4 linked regions of the Drosophila melanogaster genome follow. The protein of the gene in region 3 interacts with the protein of the main gene of each other region in a pairwise test. Each region holds a gene or a part of one and is shown on either strand. Other genes may lie near its edges. The genes, in order: CG6576, CG8204, Cyp1 and Epac.

Evidence for each region.
Region 1: the proteins of Cyp1 (region 3) and CG6576 interact in a two-hybrid assay, tested with the Drosophila melanogaster proteins (one large-scale study listed by BioGRID).
Region 2: the proteins of Cyp1 (region 3) and CG8204 interact in a two-hybrid assay, tested with the Drosophila melanogaster proteins (one large-scale study listed by BioGRID).
Region 4: the proteins of Cyp1 (region 3) and Epac interact in a two-hybrid assay, tested with the Drosophila melanogaster proteins (one large-scale study listed by BioGRID).

The regions. Positions count from the first base shown.
Region 1 is NT_037436.4:8,753,358-8,758,075, reverse strand, and holds CG6576 (uncharacterized protein), read right to left. Parts: upstream 2,088-4,718; 5' UTR 1,894-2,087; coding exon 1,090-1,893; 3' UTR 909-1,089; downstream 1-908. Other genes in the region: Fhos (formin homology 2 domain containing), read right to left, coding at 3,581-3,601.
Region 2 is NT_033778.4:15,571,926-15,576,151, reverse strand, and holds CG8204 (uncharacterized protein), read left to right. Parts: upstream 1-2,160; 5' UTR 2,161-2,418; coding exon 2,419-2,486; intron 2,487-2,541; coding exon 2,542-2,702; intron 2,703-2,760; coding exon 2,761-2,963; 3' UTR 2,964-3,008; downstream 3,009-4,226. Other genes in the region: CG30466 (uncharacterized protein), read right to left, coding at 3,226-3,339, 3,395-4,226.
Region 3 is NC_004354.4:16,316,253-16,322,257, reverse strand, and holds Cyp1 (cyclophilin 1), read left to right. Parts: upstream 1-1,887; 5' UTR 1,888-1,921; coding exon 1,922-2,179; intron 2,180-3,650; coding exon 3,651-4,076; 3' UTR 4,077-4,585; downstream 4,586-6,005. Other genes in the region: CG9917 (uncharacterized protein), read left to right, coding at 1-210; SWIP (strumpellin and WASH-interacting protein), read right to left, coding at 4,645-5,088, 5,149-5,354, 5,419-5,845, 5,912-6,005. UniProt on the Drosophila melanogaster protein: PPIases accelerate the folding of proteins. It catalyzes the cis-trans isomerization of proline imidic peptide bonds in oligopeptides.
Region 4 is NT_033778.4:6,795,179-6,801,032, forward strand, and holds the start of Epac (exchange protein directly activated by cAMP), read right to left. Parts: upstream 3,764-5,854; 5' UTR 3,592-3,763; intron 2,235-3,591; 5' UTR 1,763-2,234; coding exon 1,728-1,762; intron 1-1,727.

The sequences.
Region 1 (4,718 bases), on a different chromosome or scaffold from region 3:
ATAGGGGGCTCTTCCCAAGTGGCTCCCATCCCGGCGAATGACAACTATCCGGGAATAAAAAATAATATTATTACATTTCCAGGCGCCCGCCCAATGTGAAGAATTGGCGAGCGAGCGAGAGGGAGTGAGGAAGAAAGAAAGACAGACAGTCTCGGCTAATTGTTTTCGCTCAGTGAAATGGAATGCCAAACACACAAATAGCCAACAATGTGCAAAACAAGCAAACGGAGACACTCAGCCGGAGGAGAAAAAGAGTGGAGGATCGTGATGGTGTGGATGTGGATGGGCCTATGGATCTTCTCTGGAATGACTTCGCCATGTGTACTTTGTTCACCGCCGATTCCAGCGGAGTGCTGCACTTCTGACAGCATTATTATGCGGTCTCAATTAGGAGATTGCAGAATCTCGGAGTCTGCAGATCAGGAGCAGGATGCGCTATAATGCGCCTGTCTGTCAGTAGCCACAGCCCATTAAGAACGACCAGGAAAGCCATCCACTCACAAAGTATTTAGACTGTGACCCCAGATGATTCGAAGTGGCGACTGAATATTCGCTTGCCAGACAAATGATTTATTTTTAAATACGTTTTCTATTGTAGTTTGCTCTGACGAAAGTGTCGAAAATGCGTTTCGGGAAACTCAACTATGTGGAGATCGGCGCTTAAAAGGATAATGAAATATTCAACCCCAGAAAGTCGTTCAAACATAAATTTCCAAACAAATTAAATTAGTTAATCTGAAAATTATAGTGATTATAACCAATTTATGAGTTATAATCAATTCCGAGCTTATTCATTTTCGATATTTTCCGAATGTTTATTAATTTTTTTCGATATTTACATATATGTACTAAATCGAACCTTATTTTAAATAACTAAATCGCACTTTTTTTCGTAACAAATAATTATTCCCGTTTTTACTCCTCAGCCAATTCTATATTTAAAGCCAAACAAGTTCTTATACAGAAGGGCTACCAATTCACGAAGATCAACAATTTTACCAAGTATTCAAAGATCTAACCAACTGCCAAATTGCTATTCTATTTGGGACTAGTCTTTCTTTTTTATCCTTGGCGCCGATTCCAAATGTGTTATCTATACTGATTATCATCTCGATCCGTTTCCGGATCTTCAGTCAAATCAGTAGTTGGCGGTGGATCCGTTTCCGTATCTGGATCGGATTTCGTAAACTCATCCGGTTCAAGACTGCCCACAAGTCCCAGATCTTGGGTCTCTGGCTCAAATGGATCCCAACACGGAGCCTTCGGTGGTTCATTGATAATCGAATCACGCATGGCACGCATTCCCATCTCAAGGGCGCAGTCCATGGAATTTCTGTCAGGTGGTTCGCGGGTTAGAGGCCCATTGAAATGCACATAAATGTCTCCCTGGGCAGCCAAATCTAGTCCGTAGGTGGTTAGATCCTCACCAAAGACCAGCTGCGTGGCGCCCGGATCCGTTTGCGTAGTCCTCATGGCGGCCAGCAGCCCAATGATCCCAAATTGATCTGACAGCATCGTGGCCGGAATATTAGTGAATTTCCCATCGTCTGTACTACGTATTCCCGCGGCATTTGTGTTCGTTGAGGAGGAGGTAGATGCCACCTCGGGCTCCTGCAACACTGATTCATAAGAGGGCTGACCAAAAAGATCAGCAAACGTGGGCATCGACGGCTGGCGATCGTAGAGTTCCGGGAAGAGTTTGTAATCCGATTCGATTTCAGATTCTACGCTCGAAGTGCTGACGACTTCCGGTGGCTCTTCGCTGGGCGGATCCGGCAAGGGCGGTGGACGTTGTGGCTCTACCTTTTCTGCACTGGGTGCAGTCTCCTGTTTCTTCTTTCTCAGCGCTATCGAGGGATTCACCTTACATCGTGGACGTCGACGCCGTGTCATTTTTTATCTTTTTATCAAAAAATGTCCTTGACTTGTGTCTGTGTTCGAGTGTTGTGGGGGGCTTGGGTGGCAGTTGGGTGGACGGGTGAGTGTGCGTGGATAATCTCGGACTCAGATAGCTTGATTCATAAATCCTTATCTCGAAGCCTATTTGAGAAGCGCCTATCACCGCCTTCCTTTGTGCTACACTACAACAAATTTTGATCTGTTTTGATGAATAATTCAAATGAAAACTGATTGTGATCGCATTGTGTGTGACGAGTAGAGATATTTCTAATGAAATCAATAATCGAAACAATGTTTAATCATTACCGCTTTCGCTAATACATTATGAATATAAATTTAGTTATATGATAATATATACTTATTTTTTTTGAATATGAAGTTAAAAGCTTTAGTTATATTTGCAACTTTATTGTTTCTCCATTACCGTTCCCCTACTTTCTCCCCTCACAAACAAATTGCATGAGTATTCACACTTTGTTAATTAATTAGGTGGTGCGTGCTCTCACCGGAGAACTTTCAACTTTATGCTTGTCATAAATATTTACAACTTCCTTCTGGCCATAAAAATCCTACACAAAGTACCAACTCCAATGAGGAAAAAAGAGACTGCGTCAACGTGAACGAAACAGAAATCATTTTGCTTTACTCCCAACATTTTTAGAAACATTCTATATATAATTGGAGAAATGACTCGGGAGAAGATGAAGTGGTAGATGTGCGTGGGATGGGGTGGAAACTTGTTGTTTGCCGCCCATAAATTGATCAGTTTATTAGATTCTAAGACCCGAAAAATATTTAATTGATTTATGCTCAATGAGTCAAAAGTCAGGCTAAAGTCATAAACTGGATGCCTGGGAACAAAAGGATATAATGAGTTGAACATAAAGGGGATTAGTAGAAAGCGATTTGGAAGTTTGGGAATGACAACCGAAATTAAGTGTATTTATATTATAGGATAGATATAGAAATAATGCACTTTTTATATAAAAGTTCACAAGTATCACATGATGTCGAACGGGTTAATAATATAAATAAATATGATGATAAGTTCAATAAATAACACAAAATGTTTACTTGGGAACTGTCAGTCATTGGTCAGTATCAATAATGAATCTGCCATAAAGTATGTCAAATAACTCAAAATTAATTCCTTTGACAACTGTGCATATACGCAAATACTAACATAAATCAAGTTAAATAGGTTTAAAATTCGGAACTTAACCTGCTTTGCCAAAGTAAAAGCCATTTATTCATGCATTGGTTTGCTATTCAAACACAACAATTCGTTCATTCAGTAGCCACACCTCGGCCATAATTTGTGCTATTTGTGTGGATAGGAAATTAGAACAATCAACTAGACACAAATCCCAACCAAAAAACCAGACAATGAGCAAATTTGTATCTAAATTGTTTATCAATGGATCTGGAGCCCACACCACATCGAGAGCGAACATTCAGATACATTTTATCTGCCATATAAAACGTATACGTATGTATCTGCGAAATACTCTTGTGTGTGGGGTAAGGCAACAAATTAGAAATAAACAAAATCCGTGGATGCGAAGAATTGCAAAAAGGCACAGAGCGAAGATACAAAGATCGAGATACACACTATATAGTACGAGTAGGTATTATGCAGATACAGATACGGATAGTTGGCGCTGCATTAACTAGTACTTACATAACTGCGGTAGGACGACATTACGTTGCTCTTGGCAAGCGATCCTCGATCGCAGATCGGATCAAAATTCGGTCACAATGTATGTTTATCGCCCTTTCAAAATTGGTGTATAATTTATTTTGGTATGGCCTGGGTTTGGTAATCCAATCTGGCAAACACTCGCGCGAGATCGAAACGGAGGAACTCGAACCGCTGACGACAATTACGAAAACGTATCTGCCGGATGCCGACTCTCAATTGCAATAGATGCAAAATAAATTAGATGCACTTACTGAAATCGCGCGCGTGCGACAAATTTCTACGACACTCTCTCTGCATTCCCCTATTTTATTCAATTTTATTTTATTGTATTTATTTCTTTTCTGCTAAGTAAACTATTATTTCCTTTGCTTTTATTTGCGCTGGGCGATACTCCGAGATCGGTATCGGGATCGGCCGTGTGTCACTTTACATAATCCACCGGCACGCACCGGGCAGGTTTGGGATATATACTGTCGATGCCTATAGGGCATACGAGCAGATATAGACTATAGCGCCCCGATCTATTTGGGAATGCAGCCGGCGAATGCGACAGAATCGGACGCGAGGCTCGCGCTTTATTTATGCGTTGATATTTTTCTTATTTTTCTTATTTTTTCCTATTTTCCCATTTTCCATCGCCTGCGTTTTCCGTTTCACGACGACGGACGCGTATCACTTTTGCTTTTATTTCAATTTACTTTGGGAGCAGCACAACTTAAGCTGTTATTTATAAATTTAGCAACATTCACACACTCGCTGAAAGATTGTGTCGCGATTTTTGTTTTTAGTTCTCGGTTCTTTTTGTTGGACCACAGCGAATCCGGCCGAGAGGAAAATCATGTGCGACTCGGCGCGTTGTCAAAGGAAAACTGTCTGGCCGCAGTGAAAATATTTTTGTGCCGAGATTTTCCCTCGCACCGAATTGCGTGAAAAGCTGAGTGGAGGAAAATCTCCGGCGCTCTCGCTTTGAGTATGCGTGTATTTTCGGCAAGCGAGAGATTCGATCGGAGATGAAGCTCTCGGAGATTCTGCCGGCTCTCCTCAGTCGGCGATCGCATTCGTAAATTGCAATCGAGAAACAAATAAATGTTTTAAACATACCCTGAATGAGGGTATC
Region 2 (4,226 bases), on a different chromosome or scaffold from region 3:
ATGTTGCATAATAGATATATTTATAGGGATTTAAACCTTTGCTGTGCAACACTTTGTGGTTAGTATGATAAAAAACTGCCTCCACAAGAACCAAACCTTTTTGAAAAAAGTACATTCGCGCTAAGGAAGTTCGACTGCCAAAGCCATATGTGTTGCATGTAATTTAATATTCATTATATGCACTATAAACGCTGTGCCACTACGATTGCATGATCTGTCAATCTGCCCAATTGCCAGGACTATCTGCCCCCTTATTTTTCCACCTTCCAGTGTTTTCCTCGTTTGGCTTTTCGGGCGATAAAAACGAAGCGAAAAGTGCCGCTATCTATTAATATCGCTTTTGGCTTTTTCGCTGGCGGCTAGCTGGTAACTGGTAGTTGGTAGTTGGTAGTTGGTATTTGGTAACTGGGAAAAGCTGGGAATGAAAAACGCTGAAAACTCCTAACGAACGACACCTGCCCTCGGAAAATGCCACTACTGCACCCCGCGAGAAACTTTCGCCCCATTTGGTGGCGTGTGTCTCGCTTTTCTTCTTGCTGTTTGCATTGGTCGCCCCTTTTCCTTTTGGCGATACACTGCTGCTGATGTTGCACGAATGTTGTAAATCAAAAGTAGGCGAGTCACACGAAGGGTCTTCCTGCCCCCCCGAAATCCCTGCCACCGCCGATAGCCGCTGCTTGCCAGCGCCTCTGCTGCTGCGCCTATTTGACTGGCAGGCCGAGCGGATAACGCTGGCAATTATCGCGCTTGTGCCTCACGAACAGCGGAAGCGGCAGAGGCGCCACATCATGTTACCCGGCCCGATTCCCCAGACCTTCCACATCCCCAAACTCTTTGTTAGCCTGCATCCTTTGCTTTCTTTTGTACCACTCGTTTTTCTTTGTGCAATCCAATTGGTAGCGCTCAGAAAACAAAGCAAAAACGATTGAAAATAACAACAACCAGTCCCGGCTACAAGTCCCCCAAAATATGGCAACAGAAACAAGAAGAAAAAAAACGATTCATATACGAGTATAGCCATGCACCTAGACCACCCCATCCGGTCAGTCAGTCAGTCATTGAAGTCATTTATTGCCACCAAAAGTTTTTCGCTGTTTGCCATACCCTCGCAGAGGTTATTACGGCTCAGACTAGGAGCAGGACACGAAGGATCTCAATGGGTGTAGTTATCGTATACAGGACTGTAAGAAGTTATAACCCAATGACATTACCTATAGGACTATCATTATTATCAAATCTTAATGACACACATCTATATGTGTATATTTCATAGCTGAATATGGCCATATAAATGAGATGTTTCTCTTGCAACTAAACCTACTTTTTAGGACTATATATTGTGCATACACATAACACGTTTTCATTAGAAAGAAAGCTTAATAACAAAGGGCATTCCATGCTTCGGTTAACCAATCGAGCCTCACTGTTGTACTTATTTTTACTTCTGGTTGTACTGTACTTGTCTTTGGAGCTGGAGCGGATCTGAACGACTCCTTCCCGGGAAGGACCGTTCCGTTTCAGTACGTTCCGTGTGCAGGATATGTTTACAATTTGCGGACACGCCGACCGTCATTTGATTGCTCCCCTCGCGCTTGTCGAATTCTCGGTTAATTCGCCAGGTGGCTTCAGACTGCGCATTGCCATCGGCGGCGGGGGGAAAGGATTGGGAGGCTTTGGGGCGGAAAAATGGGAGGGCAATGATAAGCGTTCCTCGTTTGTTTGCTCGGAAGCCTCACGGAAGATGACGTGCCCGGGATGGCCCATAAATGAGACTGGCCAAAGCAAACAGACCGGATACACAGGATACATTCAATCAAATAAGGCTATTCGTAACCGGAAAAGGGCAGGACGACTCTATGTCTTCCTCAATCTGACCAAACACTCCGCTAATCGTATGGTTAATAACTAAAATACCTGTGGATAATCTTTAAACGTTTTCAATATGTAAGTCAGTGAGATACAGATACAGTAGATTGAAGCTTTCTGACTATATAAAGTATTTACTTATTTATGATGAGCAAAATTGAATGTTGATGATGAACATTTTATTTGTTCCAGCAAATTGTTCAAATTCAAATTAAAAGTAATGGCGCCAAAGATAGAATTCATCTGTTGACGAAGGCTGGCAGCTACAGAACAATCTAACTAAGCTATGGGATTCGTTTCAACACACTCGTCGTAGAACTCCACTAGTTTTGTTTTCTCACTAAATTAACATGCAGCCCCGCGATCTTATGCGCATTTTAATATTATTCTGCTTGCGTTTTGCATTTAACTTTTTGATTGTTTACCTCCAAAAACATAACGCCGTTCCAGTGGAGCAGAAACGGCTTGGAACCCTCGATAGAGGCAAAAGCTGGAGGCTATAAAACTCGCACAGCTGAGTTTTATTTTGCACGCGACATTGAATTTGATGAGATGGAAAAATGCATTATTTGCGTAGATAACTTGAGAAAATACAAGTGCAGCAAATGCTCGGCACCCTAGTAAGTAGCTATTCGAACAGTTCACTACGGAGATAATAAATGTCGCAAAATGTAGCTGCTCTGTGGCTTGTTATAAGACACACAGGGATTCGCCCCAATGTGCGACAAGGGAGTCCGACTTGAAAAAGACTGAAGTTGGCTACCAGGAGGAACCTACGCTTCATGTGCCCTTCCCCACCGACGACACAGTTGCCGCGGAGAAGCTCCAGCAACTAGGTAGGTGTTTAAATTCGCAATTATACACATTTCTCATAGTATGATGGTTTCCGTACAGAAAACTGCCAGGAACTGCGTAATTTGCTCCACAATCCACACCTGCGTTCGCTGCTCCAGCAGATTGATGTGGCCATCAATGCCCAGTCGGCCATGATGGCCGCCATGCAGGAGCCACTCTTCGTGGAGTTCGCTAATGCCTGCCTTCAAGTCGTCGAACCGATGACGGATGCTGAGCGCACTGAATTTGAGTTGTACTCCTGAATTAAGTTGACACACAGTCTCAATAAAACTAAGCCTTTATTTTGTAACTAATAGTACTGTCAATCCTTGGCAGCTTCTAGAGGAGCTTGCATTGAAGAACTCCTGGAAACTTCTCATTGAAATCCGCCGGTAAGGTTGAATCTTTTCCATAACCAGGGAAAACGTACAACTAATTATTTGGCTCGGCCATTTAAAGTTATCTATCTCAGCTGGCATATCAAACTAGTCATCAGTCTACAGCTTCGTTCCTTGGCAATCAAACTCAATCAAAGTAAATTGAAACTGGATCCGAGTTAAAAGTGATTTTTGGATGCTTCATGTGCAACTTGAAAAGCCTATGTTCCCCTTGCACTTTCCAGGTCATGGGGATGGGATCCTGTAATGAAAAATATTAGAAACGAAAGCTAATATAAGTTGTGAAATACTTAGACCTCATTAGACATGAGATACGTGTTTAGTTCCACATAAATATTAAGTGCTGTGGTACGGTTTTCTCCCAGTTTCTTCGCATCGAATGTGAACTCCTTAAATCCGAAGGTGCAATGGTATATACCCAGGACCTCGTGTGTGTTTAGGTTTTGTATTAAGGTATGAAACTTAATTTCGTCCACACAAACCGAATTTTGTATATAAAATTCATTGACATTAATGTGAAGATGCTGATACGCATGCATACCAAAATTAGCCACCTTTAGGGTCTTAATAGCCACATTTAAACCGTAAGTTTCACAAAATATGGATGTATTTTGGCTTATCTCGATCATATTTATAGTGCTTCTCTTCGCAGCTATGAGAATCTCTCTCAGAAATCCGTATCTAACGTGACCACAAAGAAATAGCTTCTTCAAGTGAGTTAGACGTTCCAGTTTCGATAGGAACCACACCATCATTTCCTCCTGGAAGCACTGCAGCTGCTCTAGGTTTCTAATCCCTTTCCAGGGCAGTTCTGTGTTCGAAATCTGGTCAATATCGAAGATACCCAGCTTCAGGGATTTTATTTTTCTGGTTTTCAGGATCTGTATCAAGTTGGTGACATTGAATTTGCTGCAGTAGGAGACCGTGAGGTTCTCGAGAAACTCGAATTCATCAAAGTGTTTGCCAGTAAACTTTCCATGGGGGCTAAAAGTTGTCAGATTTGGAAAAGTTTTCAACATTCTTGGCACGTCCGCATCGTTTAAGTTAAACGAATGCGTGGAAAATCGAAAATCTTTAAGTTTTGGAAAACTACAGCTGGTAAGTGTTTCGAAGTTAGATCTATTATTC
Region 3 (6,005 bases):
AAACTGGAGCAATGCTCGGACATAACACCGGCGAATCTCGTCGAGTCCATGTTCAACTTCATTCGGAACCAAACGATGTGCCGTGACAATCAGAAATCGCCGCTCGTTGCGGCTGCCGCCAGCGGAGGGAGTCGGGTATTCCATCAAGTGTGGACCCATGTGGGCATCTTTTTGCTAATCCTGCGATTCGCTCTACAAAAGTCTTCTTAGTTCTAAGTCTGGGCGTCCGCTATATATCTCGAATCCGAATCTGTAAAACGCCTTCTCAACGCTTTGACTTTGGCATTCCAAAGCGATTAATCAAAGAGCACGATAATCACTGTTTTTAAGCTTTTGCTTCGCTTATATTAATATGCATGTAGCCGTGGAACAGGTGTCCATAGTTCAACCGCTTTCGGGGATAAGCATGCCAAGGTGCTGCTGCTCCAGGCTAGCCAGCCATATCGTTTTTGTTTGGTGCTTCTAATTTATGTAATTAATTGCCAATTGATGTATGTATGTATGTAGTATTGTAAACAATGCTTATACTTCCTTCTAGTTTTACTTCTGAATCAGAAATTCTTCTGGCCTTTGTCATGCGTTTATCTAATGCTTTATTTCCGTTTAATGAAATGGCGTGGCTTGCGGTTCTGATTCGAGTTGGGTTTGTATTAATCTCTTTCATTTAAATTCACTGAGGGAGGCAAATGGTAATCTCACTATTTCATAGTGGATCGGGTATGGGTTTGGGAAATGAAATGCTATATATGTAAAAACAATGAATGGATATGTTTTGTAAATGAATATACGTATCATTATTGTAATAATAAAGTGATAAATGTAAAAAGAAGGACGAGTTCATTTAAACTGGGAGTTAAAGGTCAATTAGGTGGTGAAAAGTACTCAGAGTAGTTGAGACCGTGCAGCTGCATTCATTACGTTTTCAGAAATGAATCACCAACTAGTTTTCACCTTGAACGCCATTTTCAAATTTCGCGGCAGAAAAACCACAACAAAAGGCGCGAGAAAAAGCGGAAAACAAATTTGAAAACATTGTTCCGATAATTGCTGATTATTTGTGAGCAATCATTTCAAGTAATCGAAAAATAATTTTGAAACAGGCTGTCTTGTTAGGTCAATTATTTTTTATCGTGCCATTTAAACAAAAATTATTTATATTTATTTATTTATTTTCCATCGTTTCTCCAAATTACATTTAAAAGTTTGTAAGACTTAATACTGTAAAACACTATTATTAGTTATTAACTATAGTTTAAAATGGCAAAATAGAAAATGCGACACGCACAATTGAACTATCGAAACGTTAATATTTAAAACAAGTAATTTAAAATAATGAATACATGTATAAAAATAATTAATACATTTGTTTTTAAAAAGCTATAGAAATAGCTGCATATATGCTTTAACAATTTATGCTTAAAAAGTCTTTATAATAATCCTGTGATTTCGCCGTGATTTTTGGGTTTACAATGTGCTGTTTTAGAATAATGGTTATTTCAAAGTGACCACTATTTTTCAATTATCTTAATTTTTTAATAGTCTTGTGTTTATTTCAACTTTAAGTTTTATATTTTAATGGCTCTTTAAAAGCAAAAAAATATTTGATTTTTAGGAGTGATCGCTGATCACGATGCTGTAATTTTTTGTAAGATATTTACTTAACGAAGGCGAATGCGTTGTTTCGATTGGCGGTTTCAAATGAGCGCAAGTAAATGTATTTATTTATTATAAAAATTGTAAAAAGGGCGCATGAACGCGACCATTTATCCGTTTTGATGGGGGAATGGGCAGCACAAAGTGCGTTTATGGGCGCCCTAAAGTGATGTAACAATTGCTGCGACCGCAGCAGCAGCGAAACGCGCGGAATGGAACGCACGGAACGATATCGTAGTATCGTACATGCGGTCGCAAGCCATACACGATGGTCTCTTTTTGTGCAACTCTGATTCGACAGTTTCGGCACAGGTCGGCAGCGGCATTTCAGATTGCGGAGTCCGCCATTTTAGCTAACAAATCTATAACCCTAGCTTCGTCAGCGTGCAGTGTGAATAGGGGTCAGTTGCAGTTTGGAATTCAGATTGTTCGCGAATATTCGAAAGCGTCAAAGATGAGTACTTTGCCTAGGGTGTTTTTTGATATGACCGCCGACAACGAGCCCCTCGGTCGGATCGTCATGGAGGTGAGTTATTTGCCCTTTTTTTTTAATTTTAAACTTAAGTTGAGGTTTTTTTTTTTGTGACATTTGACCAGAAAGTGAAAAACACGTGATTTCCCATAAAGCCATTTCTTACGCCTAAAGCTAAGACTGTGTTTTACATTATTTGCCTCAGGTGATAAGTACATACCGTTTTTTTCTTTTTATTTTTACGGATTTAAAACTTGTACCAAATATACACACAGCGCAAACTCGCCCTCTAATTTATAAGCGACAAGTGCAATTACTTTCCATGACTAATTGCATGACAATGCGCTATGGGTAAATTTTCAATTTTCCAACCCAATTGGACAGGCGCGTTTAATCGGAAAATCTCTATAATTATCTCTACATCGCTGAATTTTGAGCAAACAGGCAAGCAGGAGCACCAACCCCCGCAAATCGGCCATTTGGTGGTATTATCTTTATAGAATGGAATTTTCCTTATTTTAATTGACGTGTCGGCAAACTTTGGCCGAAATGGTGTGCAATTTTTACCGGTATTTTATATGCATCTGTGCATGTGTGCTATATATGTACATTCCGGCGTGGTCTGCGTATGTGTGGCTCATACCCATACACACATGCAGATCAATACACGAACATAACCTCTAAGCGGTCACTCGCGTATGTCTGTATGTTCTTGTCGTGCTTGCATATGTACATGTGTGCATGCGGGTAATGTACGCGCAGATGTACAGTGTACACACAGAGATATTCGGGTGTGAATGCGCGAGTTCTGTAAACCCGTTTGCAAACATGAACTCACTATTAATTCCGCCGATGATGTAATGTACACCTAATTTTTGAATAGAGAAAAAGAATAGGAAACGCGAATGCTTGATGTATATTTTTAGTGGCCTGGGAATAAAGTCATTGCCCGCCAAGTAAACCAAGCCACATGTCTAGGATTTTCCTTCCAATAGGACATACATATGTACATACGCACACTTGAACATACATGCAGTGCGCGAAAAATTCTGCACTTCACGCCGAATTACTACACTAAACAATTGAAGATTTATAGAGAAGCGGCATTAGGAAAAGCATTTACTTGACTAATTTATACAATTGTCTCGATTACTGGGTGAATTGGAAAATTGCTCAAATTCTAGTGCATTTGCAAAGTTCTGTGCATTATATGTATTTTTTCCCTTGGTATAGATATGCACATACATATGAACATGCATATGTATATTATCAAAGGGCTAAAAATGGCGATGAAAAAAAAGCGGCGTCAAAAAACAGCTGATCATGTTTACTGCCGCTCAACATGAATTATACAGAAAATTGTCCAGTCCTCAAAAAAAAAAAGAAATAAATAAGCAAAAAGTAGTGGCAAGGTCATCCGAGTTCGGATAAACAAACCTTGAAGAACTGAAAAAGAGTCATACTTTGTTAGCATTAATTTCTTGTTTACTAACGAAATTTCTACCCTTTTGTTTGTATTTTGCAGCTGCGCTCCGATGTCGTGCCCAAGACCGCCGAGAACTTCCGCGCCTTGTGCACCGGCGAGAAGGGATTCGGGTACAAGGGCTCCATTTTCCACCGCGTCATCCCCAACTTCATGTGCCAGGGCGGCGACTTCACCAACCACAACGGCACTGGCGGCAAGTCCATCTACGGCAACAAGTTCCCCGATGAGAACTTCGAGCTGAAGCACACCGGCTCCGGCATCCTGTCGATGGCCAACGCTGGCGCCAACACGAACGGCTCCCAGTTCTTTATTTGCACTGTGAAGACCGCCTGGTTGGACAACAAGCACGTCGTCTTCGGCGAGGTCGTCGAGGGACTGGATGTGGTCAAGAAGATCGAATCTTATGGATCGCAGTCTGGCAAGACCTCCAAGAAGATCATTGTGGCTAACTCTGGTTCTCTTTAAGAAGGTGCGATGCAAAAGCAACAGCAACATTGCAAGAAGAAAAATCTGTTAAGACGAAAACCATTTGCATTTTCTCCAAAACATTTTTTTTTACCAATTACTGTACTGTAATATTACGAGAAAAATACATAACAAACCAACATATTTTCAATAGACATGTTGGGTTTCCTTTGGCCAATCAATTGTATGTGGGGGCCAAAAGTGAATAGAATTAGTGCCCACCAATGTCAGAAAGCGTTCAATTGGCTATATAATATGCATTAAATCTGTAACTTTAACATTTCCATTCACAAAAAAAAAAACAAAGAAGAAAAACAATGAGACGACAAGAGTCGAGAGGGGCTTAGAAAAATGTTTGATCTTTTGATGTTGGCTTACTTACTACTAATAATAGTATTAGTAATGCTGATTATCTAATTGCATATATATATATATATACCAACGTTCTACGCTATGTACCGGAATCGGAATTGTATTTTCGTCTTAATAAATCTGAATAAACGGCAACCAACTACTCAATTGTTTGTTGTCACTGCTGGGATCTTTGGTTTTGGTAAATGGACATATTTTATTGGAAGAATATTTCGGAGCTACTCAAGGTGGCGTACAATAGATTGTATTCATGCTCGTAGGCGTTCACATGTCGTTCGGTTATCGCCACTGTCTGGTGAAGCTTCTCGTCCAGCTGCTCCGGCGCCGTCCGCTGCTGGCCCGCCAAAATGTCGCGCACCTTGGAGCGCTCCGCGTTCAGGTGCTGCGTGATCGTCTGGCTCCAGCCCAGCTCATGGAACTCCGTCTGCTGGTTCAGCATGTTGAGGATGTAGACCAGGCCGATGGCGAAGCCATCCTCGAACAGCGAGATCTTGGTCTGGTCCTTTTTGTAGATCTTTAGCTTCTGCTTGACCCGGTAGTCAATGTAGTTCATGATGAGCGCCGGTGTGATGAGGTAGAAGGTTCGCAGGTGGTGGTTATGTGGATTGCACAAAAAGGGCTGAAAGCCTTGCAGAAGAAGCTGCAATATAAATCCATGGGTTAAGCTGGTTACCTAACTTGTTAAGATCGTAGACTGCACCTTGAAGTAATTTGTGCTATCGGAATAGCACTCCTTCATGTGACCCAGGCTCTTCTCGTACTCCCTGATGGAACCCTCCGTAGCCTCGTGCACTTTGGAGCCCCCGCAACTGAAGTTGCTGTCGAATCTGGTTTTATACGAGCGATTCCGGAAGTTGGCATTCTTGCTTCCAGCCTGCAGGAGGCGCACATAGCCAACAGCGTTGCCTAAAAGCAATATTTACGTTTATATTTTAAGCATTTTCTTGAATTATGGTCTTTAACCACCTACCGACTTGTGTGATAACCTTCCTGAAAAGATCCATATACGTCTCGCCATTGCTGGAGCAGCCTAGCCTTCTGATCTTCTTAAGAAAACTATCGGCGCGCTCATAGGGATACGACTGATAGGACTTGCTGTGCTTGTGCTCCGTGTGAAAACGCAGCTCCTTGAGCAGCCGCGACTTGATCTGCTCGTCGTGGAGGAAGGTGGAGAAGGTGTAAAACTTTTGGCGCAAAAACTGGTATATAAAGTTGACGGTGGTGTTGATGATACCGGTGCCGTGCGTCTGCACCGAGTTGGCCACGTGCCGGGTGCCAATGATGTCGAGGTGCTTGCTCCTGCTGTTCGTCTCCACGAACACCTGCAGGTTCATGTTGTAGGCATACGAGGAGGCGAAAGTGTGTATATTCCGCATGATCTGCAGCACGTCTATGCCCTTGAAAGTGGGAAAGAATTGTTTGGTTAATAGAAGAGATTGCTTATTGATGATTCAATTGGTTACCTGGTCAATTATCTGATTGGGCAGGTGGTCATCGATGGGTTGCAGCTGCAGCACCTTGTTGGCCAAATGACGCATCTTTTCATACGATTTCCAG
Region 4 (5,854 bases), on a different chromosome or scaffold from region 3:
TTGCCACTTGACCTTTCTTTTTTCCCGCTGCCGCGCACAGTCACATGAGTGCCCGCTGACCCCTGACCCCTCATGCTTTAGTGCGAGTGCGGCAGAAGCGTTTAAGCGTTGACAGAGCGTGAAATTTGAAGAGATTGTCCTCTGATTGATGGTGTGTGTGCGCGGCGGTTAGGGGCGGGCCGGTATGAGGCGGAGGCACGCCCCATTCGGATAACACCAATGAAATATAAGGCCACTCTGCAATAATAGAGTGTGCCGCACAACTGAGCAGTCGGTGGGGACAGGCGGGGCTAATAATGGTAATGGTAATGGTGGCACTCGTCCAGCGATGCCCCAGCTGAAATCCAACAAATTGCATCAAGTGGTTGCTGGGAAGAATGTGTGCTCGATTCCCGGCCATTTACGGTTGGGCAAATCGATTTAGACACTTTGAAAAACAATTTTGATCTCTGGTCAATGTTTGATTAGCTCGAATCAAGTTCAACTTAAGCTTAAGTACTGCGCACACACTAAAATAAATTTGGTTATTCCGTAATTGTATATAAATATTTTACACGCTAAATGCTGACTATTCTGTTGATTGATGCAATAGTAAATGCTTTAGAATGCTGACTATTCTGTTGACTGTTGCAATAGTAAATGCTTTAGAAATAGCATGTCATCAGGAGAGATACTCCATCTCACATATGAGCTTTTTCATTAATTTAGATAAGGGTAATGTTATTATGTTGGCTGTGAAAAGATAAATACTGTGGTGTCCAGATAAAATGAAACCGCTCTCTTAAATGGAAAGTATAAAGTCTGACATCAACTAAAAAAAAAAAACAATAGTCCCGTGCCTCTGTTTTATTCCACTAAAATAATGTTTGCACAAGACTAAACTCCATCCAATTGCAAAGCACATATTTACGTAAAAAATGTATGTGCATTAAAACCTCTGAAATGCGGAGCTTTCAGCAGAAATATATATATTTTCAATTAAATTATAGTATTTTTATACTTTTACAGCGGTTTAATTATTATTTTTGCACGACAGAAAACACTTTTCAGGCATAGCTCATGAAATGAATGGTAAATTACTTTAATGCTTTATCATAATATAAATTGTATTTTAAGAGTAGTATCATTAAATGGGTTGGTTTATTTATAGCGAACTACAATTACATTTATTTTGCATTTCAATTCACAAGAAAGATATGAATGTCATGATTAAAGTCCTGTTTTTATTTTCCTTTGTTCGGTGTCCAAATCAGGAATGATGAAATAATTGCTGTGCAGAAGGCGGCTCATTGAGTTACGGAGAATTGATATCGAGATTTAATAAAGCGGATAATTCGTGGCAGGCCGTGTCCACAAAGTGGATGGATTGGCCATTTGCCAGCCATCAAGGATGGAGGAGGATGGGGCACCCCGATGTTGGTTCTTGACAAATGAATGTCGAGCATGACGGCAACATTTTAAAATGTTTCGCTTCTCGTTCTCGTTTTGTTTGTACTCCACGTCGAGCTTTTCATTCAACTTACACGTACGTCGATGTGTGAGTACGTGTCTGCTCCGGGAAAACAGAGGAAAGAAACTTGTGCACTCAGCTGGGAAATGCCTTAAATTTAAGAGAAAGCATTCCGTTTCAGCTAAGGAAACTTTTGGAGCTAAAAACTTAGAATTTAAAGAAAAGTTCCCCAAAATCGCTGCTCATTAATTGTGCAGCTCATTAAAAAATCACTTACCGTTTGTCCATTGCAGTTATCCATTCCATCGCCATGTTGAATTTTTATTTAAATCTCCCTCGCTCGATTAGTTTCGCCGTTTGACACAAGTTATGATACAAGTTATGAACAGCACATTCCACAAACACCAAACCAAATAGTTGCCCCAACTTTGAGCAGAGCACATAAATCGAGGCGGAGCGGCTCCAAAGTGGTGCAAATTAATTGCCCGTTGCGGCCCAGGAAAGCGAAATCAAAATACCGAGTAATGGCGGCGCTCGCACCCAGTTTGCAGTCACCTCAATCCGCGATGTGGCCGTCAATCTGCGATTCCCTTTGAATACGACATGCCAGGTGGCTCGGCCCAGCGAGGCACTCGAAATCCGCTTTTGGGAGCGTTGGAGCGAGCTCCTTTCGAGTTGGAGCCAGGGGTAAGTGGACGTAGCTCGTTGATTAGGCGAAAGTTTGGAAATGGATTTCAGTTTGAGCTCCCGTTTGGCTGGCGACGAGGATTTCGATACCGAGCAGCTGCAAAGTTAAATTGGGCGAATGTGAGTCTAAATTCACTATACAGCAGTCGTAAGTGTAAGCTAGCCTTGGGATGTCGGACTCTAATATAATTTATATAAAATGCCAGCAGCAGATGTAAAAGTTTCCCTCTTTCCGATTTTTTCAGCCACATAACTAATGTGAATTGCTATTGTTGGACTTGCCAAAAAGGGTTTTCCCAACTGCTGATAGCTGCCCAGAAGGCCCCACTGCGTCAGTGTGTGTGTGCTTGTGTGTGCTTGTGGGTATCTGTGTCGCCAACAAAAGCAAATGTTATGAATAAGCTTTGATGCCTGCTCGGCCGGCGAGGGGGTGTTGTGGTGCAGGAGAGCGGTGAGGGCGGAGCACCAACAAACTGTTGGCGCACAAATCTAACAATAGATTTCCAGATAACAATAGATTACTCCACACACACGGCGTATACTTAATGCGCTGTCAATGGGCATTCTAATTTCCCAGTATGCCCAAATCCAGATCGTATGGCATGCGAAGGCACGATCTAACCGCGAATTCGTTACCGAACTCCATGTTTACCCATGCGCTGCACTATCTGTATCTGTACCGCAAACGAATGCGTATTTTGTTCTGCGTCAATGGGAAAAAACATAATTTATACCACCCCATCAGAAGTGCAGTGGCTTTCGTCAGCGAAATGGAACTGCAGGCGGAACAAGTGTTCGAGTGACGGCTCAAAAGGAAAGACATCGCGAAGGACCATCAGCTCGCATATGAATAATTAAGTATTCGCCATCGTGGCCAGCCCGCGAAGGCGCCCGAATGTATGCCACGTTTTCTGACGTGTCGTTCGCTCGCTGGCTGGCTCCACGTACATAAATGGCGACAAAAGTCCCGGGGGCGATAAGACTGATATTGGCGATATTCCGAGTGGACGACTCGATAAGCGGCCACTTTCGAACGAGTTGTCCATCCTGCCAGCAAATGCAATTAGTGTCCGGAGTGGCGGTTAGGGAATTGAATTGAACAAGCTTTGAAATCGCCCTGGAAACAGATGTTCCATGTAATTTCCACTTTAGGGTTTCAAACTTTGTTTTAATTAAGCAACCGAGTGAAAGCAAAACTTTGAACCACAATAGATGTGATTTAACTGCCCACTGCAGCCGTTGCCAAACGGAAAACTTAGCCATTTAGCTTGGTCATGTGGCGAAGAAACATCATGAATCGAATACTCACGCATCCTCTGAACGGAGAAAAGGATCAGAAGATGCAAGAGTAACAGAGATCCCGCAGCAGAATTCGATATTTTAAAGTCCTTCTTGTTGGCAAACACTTTTTGGCACGGAAAATGAACTTTTAGTTTCGAACCCACGCGACATACCGAAATCCAGCGAATACCTGAAATCGAACCGACTTCAAACGAATATTTAAATGAACCACTTGCTAACGGCTTTCAAGCACTTGGTATATACAGTTCTTGGGCAAACATTTCAGTTCTCGACCTCCGCTGAAGCGCTATCGCGTCCGATTCATTTGGTAGTCGCGTCGCAACTGCTCGGCCGCCTTCCATTTTCCGACTTCCGAGCGGCGCTCTTCACCACGCTCCTGTCCTGCGCCTCGCAGGTGGGTTTCCCGGCGGAGATTGGGGGTCGTGGTGGGTTGTTGGAAGTTACTCATTGCCGATGACTGCAGTGTTGACGGCTGCGGTGCGGTACTTTTGGCCTTGTTCCGCCTTCCCGCCGTCCCTTTCCGTCACTCACATATTTTGGCGCGTTTTTTAGCAACAAGTTTGACAAATCTTCGGCACAGTGGGCTTACATCCAAATCGGTGTGGTCAAAATCCAAATAAAATTTGGCACACGAAAAAACGTAATTTCAAAGTAGTTCTAATTAAATACAGTTTCTTTGCTTATAGTGTTTGAAATTATACTACTTTTGTTATAATATTTATTATAATTTGAATCCCATTATTTTGTGATATGAATGGATTTCTACTATTCTTTTACGATTTTAAACTTAATATTAATTTAATTTAAATATTATTCTTATTCATTTACTGCCTACACTTATATACGATAATCAGCAAAGAGATACAATTTGTATAAAGATGGCTATAATGATATAGCATTTAACATATAAATTTATGTTCTTGTTTGATTTATTTGTTTTACTTACTTGCTTATTGCTTATTAGTATAGATTGTCTTAAGTCCTCACATGATTAGTGAGAGGTTTGGTTTTATCTTTTATATGTTAATTGCGCTGTTATGTTACTGTTACTGCATTGTATGGATTCATCGCTTCTAAATAAATAAATATAAAAAAAAAAAAAATATAGATTGTGTATTGGGCTTTAAAGATGAAAAGTTAATCGAATCTGATATGTTGTATTACGAATAATATTGCTTGCCTAGTCTACTTGAAATAACAATTTGTTTTGACTCTATTCACTCGAATGTTTAGCAACATTTGCTGCTCGCTCTCCTATTCTACGTGCTCCACAACAAACTGTTGAGCGTTATTTTGGTGAGTCGTCGCAGTTGACCAGCTCTTCAACAGGCACTTGTCCGTCCGCTCGGCCGTCGGGCGAACAGCGGACAACCCCGCACCGCGCCCCGGGCGGAACTGCCTCACACCCTCGCCTGAAAGTGCACATAAAATGGAATCGCAATGCGAAACAATCAACATGTCAATTAAATAATGCACACCAGCAGCGGACACGAAACAACGGACAGAATTTACGGAGCGAGTGCGTGAACACCCGGACTTTTGGTCACTTGGACACTTGGACATTCACTGACGGCTTGTCACATTCAGCTAATGAATCAACGGCGATTCAGTCGTGTTCGCTCCTGAAAAGGTGCGAAAATGCAAAGCTTTCCTTTTGTTTTCCACCTTTCCCAGAGCCGCTGTTGTTGTGGTCGCCACCACAATATTTACGGCACTCTCGAGTGCCTTTATTTCCGCATGAATCATTCCCAGTTTCGGTTCCAGCTCCACAGGCTGCCCCAGCGCATATAAATTCTTGGCTTTTTCCCCCAGCTGTTAATGCACAGAAAGAAAAATAGTTAAGGTGGATCGTAGTCTGGTATTCCTAGATAGGTATTTCATTATACACAAACGGGTGTAGCATAGGATAAGTGCAAAGATGAATTACTTCTACTAATATAATTAGACATAATTAACAATAACGGTATAGCACTAAATAGAACTGACGTAATAAAAGTGGAAGACTACTTTCCCTGTGTTGCAGGGTTTTTTTTTTTTTTTGGTTTTTCATGGGGTCTGCCTGTCGCATTTTTTATGAGCCTCCCCCATGTTGACAGGACCACCATAGACATTTTTTCGGGCTTGCCAATGCGGAATGAAATTCCAAGAATTTAACGGCCGCTTTGCCTGCTGAATATGTCATCACATGGCGTTGAATCCTGCTCCACCAGACACAACACAACGACCCGGCGGTAATTATGATAAATGCGATCTTAATAAACTCGGCTGGTGGGCACGGCTGGCTTTGAAGGCCTTCATGGCCAAGTGCGGGCTCATCATGGCCGGTCCTAATGCATTTTCTTTTCATCATCAACGCATGTGGCACCTGGTCTAATGGCGCTTCCTGCCACCCTGCCTGTGGCCCATTAGCAGAAA